Macaca fascicularis: one gene and its partners. Each later gene encodes a partner of the first gene's protein in a complex. Links are inferred from orthologs where the notes say so. Each region holds a gene or a part of one and is shown in the gene's direction. Other genes may lie near its edges.

Region 1 (3,479 bases):
AAGGAACGTACATACATTATTTTAGCTTTTTTTATAATCCCCTAGCTTAGGAACTGGTCAGTAAATATAGAGTGAATAACAGAGTTACACTGGAATTATCTTTATTAGTTTGTTATACTTCCTCTTTAAGAAGTTCTGTCAAAGAAATTCTGAATTTATTTTGTTTCTTTACATGTTAGCTAGACTCATGCGTCATTTAGCAACAACAAAAACTTATTTGATAGACTGAATGTTTACTTCTAGCTATTGTTGGCTATGTCAAAGAGACCAGATACCTTAGCCAAGAATGGTTATCAACACTGGAGAAACTGAATATGTGTGTGAGTAATCTTTTGAGAACAGGCTGGTATCATCTTTTTATAAAGGGATCGTATTACAGTTCTAGAATTTCAGAACTTATTTTGTATAGTTGAAGCTAAGTCCCTCCTTTGATTGCTAGAAATAAGGCCATGTAATATTTTTATTTCAGCATTTGGATTTATTATAATATGTATTATGATTTTTAAGATTTTGTTTTTCATTCTTTTAGACAGGTGCTCTAGTTCACAGCTATAGGGGAACAGGTGGAATTTTTGAAGTTTGCTGGAATGCAGCAGGAGACAAAGTTGGAGCCAGTGCATCAGATGGTTCAGTAAGTATAGTAAAGTGTTTCCAAAGAGGGTGTGGGTGGGTATTCACATCAGAATGCAGCTTATTGTTAGTGATACCAAAGTTGTTTTTTTTTTTTTTTCTCAAAATAAATTTTAAGATATGATACTGATTTTTTTTTTCCTGAGGCTGTAAACTTCTCATGTGCGTTGGATTTAAATAGTGTAAACCAAATTTAGGCTGTCCTTACCAAAAGAGTACCTTATAATCTAGAAATGGACAGTTATTTTTAATGTGAACCTTCATTTATGAAATTAGGTATACCAGAGTAACATTCTGAGAAGGATTGAAATTTTTAATGTGTATTTCTACCTTCTCCTCTTCACAGAAGAGTTTTTTTTTTTAGCTCAGGGAAGGCAGAACTAGAGGTGGTTCCTGTGTTGAGGAATGTGTGATACTGGAAGATTTTCAGAATGAGGTTGGCCAAGTCTTTACAACAATGCAAATATGGCTTCCAAAGCTGTAGAAGTAACAGAAGATGGGGAAGGGGTAGCTATTTACTGATGCTGTAGCTGAATATAATACGTGATATCTTTCATTAGGGTCCAATAGATAGGAAATGGTTGTTTTGAGCATTTTCTCCTACCTTTTAAATCAACAGAGTATTAAAAATCCTAGCCATGGTTCTTCCCCCATAGTTTGAGCTCATGGTTGTTCTCTTGACCTGCTTAAATCTAATTTCTGTCAGTTAACCGCTCATTTCCATGATTATCATGCTTTACCAATTTTATAAACTTGGAACTAAGAAACATTTCAAATTGTACTATAGAAAAGTTAAACATAAAATGTACAATAAAATTCTGAATACACTGGTTGATTATTCTAATTTCTTACAGGTTTGTGTATTAGACCTTCGGAAATAGCGCTACTAGTTGGAAGCCATGGACCGACTATGAATGTGTACATAGCCAAAATGACTGTCCCTGACCCATGTACTGCTATAGTCCCACTTGAACCATGGCCAGTCCACTACAGCCAAATCTAAAAGAAATATATACATAAGTGTATATACACAAAATTGCACCCTGAAGATGACAGAGTTTTGTCACAGCTTGTGAATTCTGTTCACCAAGTGCTGGAATCTAATCTGCTGTGCCCCTAAAATAGCATTTAGAAGTTTTGGATATGAAAAACAGAAGAGAGAAAAATATACATTATAAAAGCAGAACATACATGTACCAGTTTTTGGATACTAAATGACAGCCTTGTTTCTCCCCTTTGAATCAGCAGACACCATGGATTATATTCTTTTTTCCCTTCAGTAGTGAGCAGTTTGTATGTACAGAGAAAATGGACTTACAGAAACTTGCAGCAGTAGTTTGTTCTTGCTTTAAAATTTTGTTTTTGGTTTAGATTATGGATGCATGAAGTAAGGGAGTGAATCAGTTTCTTGTTTATATTTTTTTCACCTTTTAAACAACAAAAAATTCTTTAAAATATTTTAATGCATTCTTTTGAAGAGGTAGATGTTTGGTACATTTTATGGCTCCCAGAGCATATATTCAGTTGGTGCATGTTGTGGAAGGGGGAATTGGAAATTAAATGAAAACCTATGACTTTGGTCATGTCAATCTGTAAGACACATCAGTAAAAGGGTATTATGCTCTGTTGGTTTTGTTTTTTTGTTTTGCTTTTTTTTTTTTTTTTTTTTTCTGTTTTGTTTTTTGGTGATGTGGCTTAAATGCAATAGTTTCTTTTTTGGGACATATTTCTGCCAATTAAAGACTAGAAGGGCACAATTTTTTTTTTTAATTACCATAGAGAAGATACATTAAAAAAAAAAAAAATCTTCTGATGTTTTGTAGCCATAACTAAATTATGGTAAAAGTGTGCACTATTGTGAAAAGGAGCAAAGTAGTTTTGGGTTTTTTGTTGTTTGTTTGTTTTGCTTTGTTTTTTAAGAGATTAAAATGTTTCTGGATAAGGATTAGCTTCTCAAAGTGTCCATCATTCTGTGTAGAAGCTTAAATATGTAAATGTAACCAACCTCCAGTATTAAAAATCTCTCATGTTGTTTTCTTTATACAAAGCAAGATAACGGCATATAACACTGCCATTACATGGCAAAATGTTTGCTACCTTAGTTTAAAAAACAATCTCAAACAAAAGACTTGCTTCAAGGTGTTTTTAAATAGCAGTGATTCAGAATTTTTTTTATGAAAATATAATTGCACTAACCTTCTTCCTGCTGCTCTGATTCTGCATTTGTGGTACTTGTGACTACGTTTTTTCAAATATAGATCGATTTAAGCTGCTAATTTTTTTTTCAGTAATCACTACTATATCATGTCTTTTACTCTGTTTATAATATCAAGTATTTTCTTAAAGATATAGATATTAAATTAAACCTTGTGCTCATGCAAGTTAGAGTAACATATACAAATGATTGCATGAGGCCATGTTTATATGTGTGATTAATAAGGCTTGTCATGATTAACATAATCCAGGTATGTCATTTCTGAAGAGAATAGTCATCAAATTTATATCTCAAAGATTTTAATTAAGGAATTGCTTATTGTTGAGCTTAGCAAATTAATAACACTATTTCTGTCACTAATTATTTTGAGGCCTTTTAGTACTAAAATTTTAACCTGTGTTCTAAGTTTAGGTAGAAACTGATTTAACCCAAGTAATGCAGCTTTGATTTTCAGCATTTGTTGCTTTGCTATTTTTACAAAACAGCATTGATTGAAGCAAGTCTTCGTTTTACTAAGGTAGGGTAGCATTTGCTATTGGTAAAGAGAATAAATACACTTAATTTCACAATACATTGTTATATGTACCCCAGTTGTTGTTAGTGGGGACTATGATACTGTAATAATATTTTTAAA
Region 2 (4,347 bases), on another chromosome or scaffold:
AAGAGTGGGGCGAAGGAGACAGCAGTGTGGCTGGTGTGGGCATCGTAAGAAAGAGTGGGGCGAAGGAGACAGCAGTGTGGCTGGTGTGGGCATCGTAGGAAAGAGTGGGGCGAAGGAGACAGAAGTGTGGCTGGTGTGGGCATCGTAAGAAAGAGTGGGGCGAAGGAGACAGCAGTGTGGTTGGTGTGGGCATCGTAGGAAAGAGGGGGGCGAAGGAGACAGCAGTGTGGCTGGTGTGGGCATCGTAAGAAGGTGGGAGAGATTCGAGCAAAGGCTTGAAGAAGGAAGTGAAGGGTGTAGCTGAGCAGGCTTTGGGAGGAAGAACATTTCAGGTAGAAAGAACAGCTAGAGTGAAGCTCCTATAAGGCGGGAGTATTTCCTAGGTACAGCAAGGCTTGTGTGGTTGGAACAGACTTTGCAAGGGGGAGGTGATGGGGAGAGAAGCTTCACTCCCTTATTTTTTCCTGTTTGACAGATTCCGGGACCCCAAATCCCAGCGGACGCACCAGGCTCAGGTGGCGTTCCAGGTGTGTGTGCGCCCTGGCTCCTACACCCCGGGACCCCCTTCCGCTGCCCTTGGAGAACCTCCTGACCCTCACTTCAGTCCAGCCGAACTTGAGTGGGTCACTAAGGAGAAGGGGGCCACACTCCTCTATGCCCTGCTGGTACGGGTGGAATGAGGGGTGACACACAAATACTACAAGCACAGTCGGGCCTCGGGCCCATGGACTCTGGCGACTGCCTCCACCTCATTCCCGTGACTCGTGGCATGCGCAGGTGCTGGAGCTTGGCAGCCGCGCAGGAGCATGTAGGCAGGCTCTCAGATGTAGGTGGCAAGTGGCACAGCTCCATGTCTGGAGGCCCAGCACTCCGTCTGATGGGAGGAGCCGTGGGAGCCCAGCTCCAGGCCCTGGTACCCCTCTTCATGCACTGATTTGGGGAACATGACTCCCTTTTACTCCCCTTCCCCACATCACTTAATTTATTTCCGTTTTTGTTTCTGGTTACTGTGAATCCCAGAGGAGTCTCTCCCTGTGCCCACATGAAGCTGCTTTTTCCGGGGCCACCAGGCGGGAGTGGGGAAGGGTGGGCGCACGGAAGATGGGGGCCTCTGTACAGTTGTTACTGACTCTGATTTCTAAGGAGCCAATAAACACCGTCTCAGAGCCTCCGCCTCGGCCTCTCTCTCGCGCGCCCCTCCCCGGAGCCCGCGTCCCCTGGGGTGCCACCAGGTGGGCCCGCGAAATTAAAGAGAGCTGAGGATGCCAAGACCAGTTTACAGCCCTCGTCGCCCGCGTTCCCGGCTACGGGGTTTGGACGCCGCGGGCACCCGTCGCAGCGCGCTTCCGCTTTCTCTCACCCAACCCGTGAGGTCGGCCGCAGCCGTGACTCCGGAAGGACTTGGCCGGGCCGCCGGATGTGACGTACGGGCCAGGGCGCGCCGGAGCTGCTGAGAAAGCGCAGAGAAGGCGGGTAGGGAGGGCTGGCGTCCGGGCTGGCTGGGCAGGGAGCGGCAGCACCGAGTCGGGGATCCCGGCGCCGCCCGTGCGCGCGGTGGAGCGGGGGCTGCGGGCCCGGCCGGGTGGCGGGCTCCTGGGACACGTGACCGGGGCGGCTAGCGGGTCGGGCGGACGGGCTTCCGCCTGGGCCGGGCGCGGTCCCCTCTGAGCGCCCGCCTCCCCGCAGGCGCCGTCTGAGGTCTGGCAGTCAGAGACAGAGCCGGGCGCCCACGGCCCGAGCGCCCACGGCAGCACCATGCCCGCACTCCTGGAGCGCCCCAAGCTTTCCAACGCCATGGCCAGGGCGCTGCACCGGCACATTATGATGGAGCGGGAGCGCAAGCGGCAGGGTGAGCCGGGGCCATAGCGGGGGGACACACGGCCCAGAATGGCTCCTGTACCTCAGGGTTGGCCTCAACCCAGCGGCCAACCAGTGAGCCCGCTGCCGAGCGCAGAGGAGGGAAGGAATAGCCCCGTTGTGGTGGGATTTAAGCGTCCTGGTCCACGCTCCAGAACCCTTGAGACGGGAAGGACCTTGGAGAGCACCTGATAAAGCCTCTCCGTTCCCTATTGCAGCGATGGGGGAGCTTGTCCCCTCGAGGCAAAGAGCGCACAGGCGTGTTGGGATGACTGGGTTTTGCTGGTCTTCAATCTAACGTTGGAACTGTTTTCACTACCCTGCCTCTTCTTCATTCTGCCTGATTCTCCAGAGGAAGAAGAGGTGGATAAGATGATGGAACAGAAGATGAAGGAAGAACAGGAGAGAAGGAAGAAAAAGGAGATGGAAGAGAGAATGTCACTAGAGGAGACCAAGGAACAAGTAAGCAGTCCCTTGAACTCTCCCAGCTTTGATTTCTTCCCTTGACTCTCCCTGCCTTCATCTTCTCTTCCCACTCCCTCCCAGATTCTGAAGTTGGAGGAGAAGCTTTTGGCCCTACAGGAAGAGAAGCATCAGCTTTTCCTGCAGCTCAAGAAAGTTTTACATGAGGAAGAAAAACGGAGGCGAAAGGAACAGAGGTAGGATCAGAGTACTAAAAACTGAAATGGGGGCCAAGTGGAACTGGGATCAAGTAATAAAAGAACTAGTGTTTAATGGCGAAAGAGAAGGCATCTGTCCTTAGCTTTGACCTGCCTTCCTCTCACTCCAGTGACCTGACCACCCTGACATCAGCTGCATACCAGCAGAGCCTGACTGTCCACACAGGAACTCATCTCCTCAGCATGCAGGGTGAGGACTAAAGAGACCACCTGATGGAACCGGCCTTCTTACAGGTTGCAGCCTCCCATTTCAGCATCATGAAGCCCTTCTCCCTTTCTAGGGAGCCCTGGAGGACACAATCGCCCAGGCACCCTCATGGCAGCTGACAGAGCCAAACAAATGTTTGGACCCCAAGTGCTTACGGTGAGAGTAGGATTGGATGCCCAGCCCCTACTGCTTCCATCCATGCATCCTTGCCACCAGTATTCAAGTCACAAACATATCAAGCACTTAAGTTTAGGGGGAAATGGGGCATACAGATATACACAAGTCACTGGGTTTCAGCTTTCAAGTTTATAGGCGAATTCTCATTCTCCCTCCTTAGACCCGGCACTATGTGGGCTCAGCAGCTGCTTTTGCGGGGACACCAGAGCATGGACAATTCCAAGGCAGTCCTGGTGGTGCCTATGGGACTGCTCAGCCCCCACCTCACTATGGGCCCACACAGCCAGCTTATAGTCCTAGTCAGCAGCTCAGAGGTGAGTAATAGGAGGGATGGGGCTTGGCCTTCCTCAACGTCAAAGGAGGAATGCCGTTGAGTAAAAGGTTTTAATGGCTCTGTCTTTTCCTTTCTCAGCTCCTTCAGCATTCCCTGCAGTGCAGTACCTATCTCAGCCACAGCCACAGCCCTATGCCGTGCACGGCCACTTTCAGCCCACTCAGACAGGTGATAACATCCCATGCAGGAGCTCTAGCTCTCTGGGTCCTCCCCTCCCTGTTTCATTCTCATCTCACATGCCCCTCTTCCCCACGTAGGTTTCCTCCAGCCTGGTGGTGCCCTGTCCTTGCAAAAGCAGATGGAACATGCTAACCAGCAGACTGGCTTCTCCGACTCAGTGAGTATGGCATCTTGGGAGGTCAGGGTTAGGGATATGTTAAGGGGAGCATCAGTATGCCTCAGGCCCTGACTCTGTTCTCTGCAGTCCTCTCTGCGCCCCATGCACCCCCAGGCTCTGCATCCAGCCCCTGGACTCCTTGCTTCCCCACAGCTCCCTGTGCAGATGCAACCAGCAGGAAAGGTAAGAATGATAATAAAGTTTACCTGTCAGAATCCTTACACTAGGGATCCAGAAAAGCAGGATTAGGTAGGACCGGTGGCCCACATCACCTGGTTTTTCTTCCTCTCTGGGGGTGGTTACCAGTAGGGCATTAAGTGGGAGAGTACGCCCAGTGACAAAGCCCTCTTTTCATCACCACCGCCAGTCGGGCTTTGCAGCTACCAGCCAACCTGGCCCTCGGCTCCCCTTCATCCAACACAGCCAGAACCCGCGATTCTACCACAAGTGACGATCAGATTATATCTTCAACATCATGCCCCCTGCCCCACTGTGGGTGAGGATACCCCCCGTGTGTCCCAGGCCAATAAAATCTACCTGCCACTGACCCTGGCTGCTGCTGTTTGTGTTGCCTCCCACCCAACTGTCTGGAATAGGTCAAGGCTGCTTGGGGGGTGGGGGGATGACTGGCAGGTCCACAGCAAGTCAGTGATAGACAGCGGGTTCCATGAACTCAGTGGCAGAGTTCAGTCTTTTTGTAGCTTCCAAATATACCCATTTAATTCAAATAAGCAGCTGAGTTGGGGGCTTCATA
Region 3 (3,647 bases), on another chromosome or scaffold:
TGCACGCCACCACGCCCCGCTACTTTTTGTGTTTTTAGTAGAGACGGGGTTTCACCATGTTGGCCAGGCTGGTCTTGAACTCCTGACCACAGGTGATCCACCCACCTTGGCCTCCCAAAGTGCTGGGATTAGGTGAGCCAGTTTCTTGTAGACTTATCTTTTCATTTTCCGTGGGGATAGACCTAGGAGTGAAATTGCTGGGTCATGTGGGAATTCCTTTTAACCTTTTGAGGAACTGCCAGACTATTTTCCAAAAGAGCTGCACCATTTTACATGCCCGCCAGCAGTGTATGAGGGGAAATGCCCTTTTATTGAACATCTGCCATGTGCTAGCTACTCCCTCCCATGATCCTCACACCAGCCTGTGAAATACCTGTGATTGCTCCCTTTTACTGAGGAGGACACCAGAGCTCAGAGAAGTGAAGTAACTCCCCCGGATCACACAGGGAATAAGAAGTAAGGCCTAGATTCACACCCAGCTCTGTCCCTTACATGTTCCTGTTGACTGGTTGCTGACTGACTACATGACTGTCCAGATGCTAATGTGGAATCCACCTCCTCCCCAACCCTTCTGGGCACTGTCTTGCAGACAGGGAAGTTGGACCCCCACTACCCAAAGGTCTGCGGGCACAGAGGGAACGTTCTGGATGTCAAGTGGAACCCTTTTGATGATTTTGAGATCGCCTCCTGTTCTGAAGACGCCACAGTGAGTGTCAGCCCCTCCTGAAGAGTGGGATTGGGGTGGGTGGGGTGGAACGGTACCTGTTCTTGGCTCTGGTGCCCCTGACTCCATCGCGGAGTTGAGGTCACTGTGTGGGGAGGTGTTAAGTTAGGTAGAGGAGGAGACATTCTAGGTGCTGTAGGACTATGGGCCTTAGTTCCCCGCCTATAAAATGGGCATAATAGCTCCACCCAGCTAATAAAGCCCAGTGAAAATGTGTATTCCGATGGGAAAGCCCATCCTTTTGGGGGGCTATAAAAGGCTACAAGGGGCATTTTTATGGTGATCAGAAAAGATGTTCCACTTAATCCCACAGTGAAGAAGCGAGCTGTAAAAGGCTGTGAGGGCCTTGGATGAATGTGGACACTAAAACCACTCCAGCAGCTTCAGTCTCACTCACTTTTTTGAGCCTGTGTTCTGTACCAGGGTTATCATTCCTACCCCAACAATGTGCAGTGTTACTTATTTATAGTTCATTTCGTACCCACTTTTAAAATATGATGGATATGGCTTAAGACAAGAACCACAGATGTGCCAGGTTCAGTGGCTCACACCTGTAATCCCAGCACTTTGGGAGGCTGAGGTGGGAGAATCACTTGAGGCCAGGAGTTGGAGACTAGCCTAGGCAACATAGTGAGACCCTGTCTCTACTAAAAAATTAAAAATCACAGATATGATCAGATGATTAAAATAAAGATAAAAGTCATTATCACCATTTATTGTGAGCCACCGTATTCCTCACTGTCACCATACTCATCGTCTCACAGTCTCCCCAGCAACCCCACAAGGTAGGACATTTTTCTAATGGAGAAGCTGAGGATCAGAGAGGTACAGCAACTTGCCTAATGTTTCACAGCCTGTGGGAGGCAGAGCCAGACTTCAGACTGAGGCCTGATTCCAGAGCCCATTCTCTTTCCAATGTGCCATGACACATCTTTAAAGAGCAGCAGCCACAGATGGAGAAAGTGAGGAAATACTAGAAATGATGGCTAAGGAGGGTTGCAGCAGCCAAGCTCCTAGCTTAGCTAAGAGCTCCCTGGCAGCCAAGGCAAAATGGGCAATAGAATGTATTGCAAAACCTTCAGTTAGATCAAAAGAAGCAGACCAGTTCATCAGGAAAGGAAAGCAGAAAATTCAAAGAGGATTTGTGTCGGTTTCCATATAGCAGATGCTGAGGAACATAAAGGACAGGGTCTGCCGAGGTGATTTTACCAAAGGGACAGTCAGGTCCTGTGAGAATTGGCCCTGTCCCTAGGGAGTACAGGGCCTCTGGCAGGATGTCAGATATCTGAAACTGTCCCCACTTTTGTAATACCTGCCTTTTCAGAACTGCTTTGAAGGCTCCCATCAAGATCTTTCTTAAATCTCTTGCTAGCCTCATTGCCTGCCACTATCCCTTCCCTGATGCCCCAGGGCAGGACATAACTGTTGGGGGACTGAAGAAGGAAGGGGCTTTTCTCCCCGAAGCTATGCCCACAGTGAATTTATGGAGTGAATTCATTCGTGTTCCTCCCTGCGTTCAGGGCCTGGAGGGCACGGTCGCTCCTCTAGCACTGGGGAGTCTTCTCTGCTTCAGTGTTGCGGGTGGTACCTGCATCTTCCAAACACACCTGTTCACAGTGTGTCTTCCTCCTGGGGTTCTATGTGGTGAGAGCCCTCACCACACCGAAGTATCTGGAACCTGGCACTACTCTCGTGGGGTTGGCTTCCTGGTTTTAAATCCAAGATGACCAGGAAAGAAATATTTGCTGAATTGAAAGCAAAGTTGTCTACCTGAAAAACCTGTATAACTCTAAGGGAAACAGTGCGTAAAATCAACTACGGGCCAGAGAACCTTGCAGGACCAATAAGGAAGGTCAAGTCAGCAGCATCCCAGGCTCGCCTTGTACTCCATTTGTATACCTCTGTGACAGGGAGCTTACTCTCCGCCATGGCAGCCCCCTCCATCTTCAGACAACATGACTCTGGAAGGAAGTCCCAGTGCCTCTCCTCAGGCCCTCACCATGAAATACAGGCCTCTGACCCCATCCAGTCCAGCCTCTTGACCTTCAGAGTTTCCTCTTGCAGGCCATCCAGGGTGCACCTGCAAAGCAAGAAGTTTGTCCCTGCCCTGCTCCAGAGACCTCGCTGGCTCCCTAGTGCCCTGAGGATGCAGCCTAAACCCTTCATCCTGGCATTTGAGGCTCTACCCTGGGCCTTTGGGACAAGAAGCATGTAGAATACTGTACTGTGGGGGATATCCTAGCTTAGGAGGCCTGAAACCCAGCCACCTGCCCACCACCTCAGGCCAGCAGAATGACAAAGATCTCTCAAGGGCATATTTGGAGGCCTAGACTCATCCCTGGTCAGCACTGACCCCTGCTCGGGCTGGAGGAGCTTGGGGAAGCCCCTGTCCCTCTGGGGACCCTCAGCTGCCCCTCCACTGCCCCTCAGTGCCCATAGCCACTGAGTGGGAGGTGGCCATGGAGAGAGCTCCCTTGGTCCTTCTGCTGGTCACTGCCAGATCTGTGGCTTAGGCTGGTGACGGTGCCAAGGTGCCCTGGCTGATGCTCCCTTGGGCCACGTCTCCCCTGCCAGATTAAGATCTGGAGCATCCCCAAGCAGCTGCTGACCAGGAACCTCACGGCCTGCAGGAAGGAGCTCGTGGGCCACGCACGCAGAGTGGGCCTGGTGGAGTGGCACCCCACGGCCGCCGACATCCTCTTCAGTGCCGGCTATGACTACAAGGTGAGTCTGGGTGTTCTTCTTCTGGGGCAGCCCCTACAAATTCCCACGAACTGGAATACCACAGAAATTTATTCTGTCACAATTCTGGAGACCAGAGATCGAAAACCAAGGTTTTGGGAGAGCCAGCTCCCTCCAGATGCCCTAGGGAAGAATCCTTCTGTGCCTCTCCCAGCTTCTGGTGGCTCCAGGCATCCTCGGC

The links.
Region 2: TBL1XR1 (region 1) and GPS2 share a complex: the UniProt entries of both Homo sapiens proteins name them as parts of the N-Cor repressor complex. The link is inferred for Macaca fascicularis from reciprocal best matches to the Homo sapiens genes TBL1XR1 and GPS2.
Region 3: TBL1XR1 (region 1) and CORO2A share a complex: the UniProt entries of both Homo sapiens proteins name them as parts of the N-Cor repressor complex. The link is inferred for Macaca fascicularis from reciprocal best matches to the Homo sapiens genes TBL1XR1 and CORO2A.

What each region holds. Positions count from the first base shown.
Region 1 is NC_088376.1:88,740,524-88,744,002, reverse strand, and holds part of TBL1XR1 (F-box-like/WD repeat-containing protein TBL1XR1), read left to right. Parts: intron 1-529; coding exon 530-631; intron 632-1,484; coding exon 1,485-1,511; 3' UTR 1,512-3,479. UniProt on the Homo sapiens protein: F-box-like protein involved in the recruitment of the ubiquitin/19S proteasome complex to nuclear receptor-regulated transcription units. Plays an essential role in transcription activation mediated by nuclear receptors.
Region 2 is NC_088390.1:7,369,352-7,373,698, reverse strand, and holds GPS2 (G protein pathway suppressor 2), read left to right. Parts: upstream 1-1,415; 5' UTR 1,416-1,469; exon of another isoform or gene 1,470-1,545; intron 1,546-1,686; 5' UTR 1,687-1,755; coding exon 1,756-1,849; intron 1,850-2,209; coding exon 2,210-2,319; intron 2,320-2,403; coding exon 2,404-2,516; intron 2,517-2,647; coding exon 2,648-2,727; intron 2,728-2,818; coding exon 2,819-2,901; intron 2,902-3,082; coding exon 3,083-3,236; intron 3,237-3,334; coding exon 3,335-3,424; intron 3,425-3,513; coding exon 3,514-3,593; intron 3,594-3,680; coding exon 3,681-3,776; intron 3,777-3,960; coding exon 3,961-4,044; 3' UTR 4,045-4,140; downstream 4,141-4,347. Other genes in the region: NEURL4 (neuralized-like protein 4), read left to right, coding at 476-680. UniProt on the Homo sapiens protein: Key regulator of inflammation, lipid metabolism and mitochondrion homeostasis that acts by inhibiting the activity of the ubiquitin-conjugating enzyme UBE2N/Ubc13, thereby inhibiting 'Lys-63'-linked ubiquitination.
Region 3 is NC_088389.1:59,988,400-59,992,046, forward strand, and holds part of CORO2A (coronin-2A), read left to right. Parts: intron 1-589; coding exon 590-706; intron 707-3,298; coding exon 3,299-3,448; intron 3,449-3,647.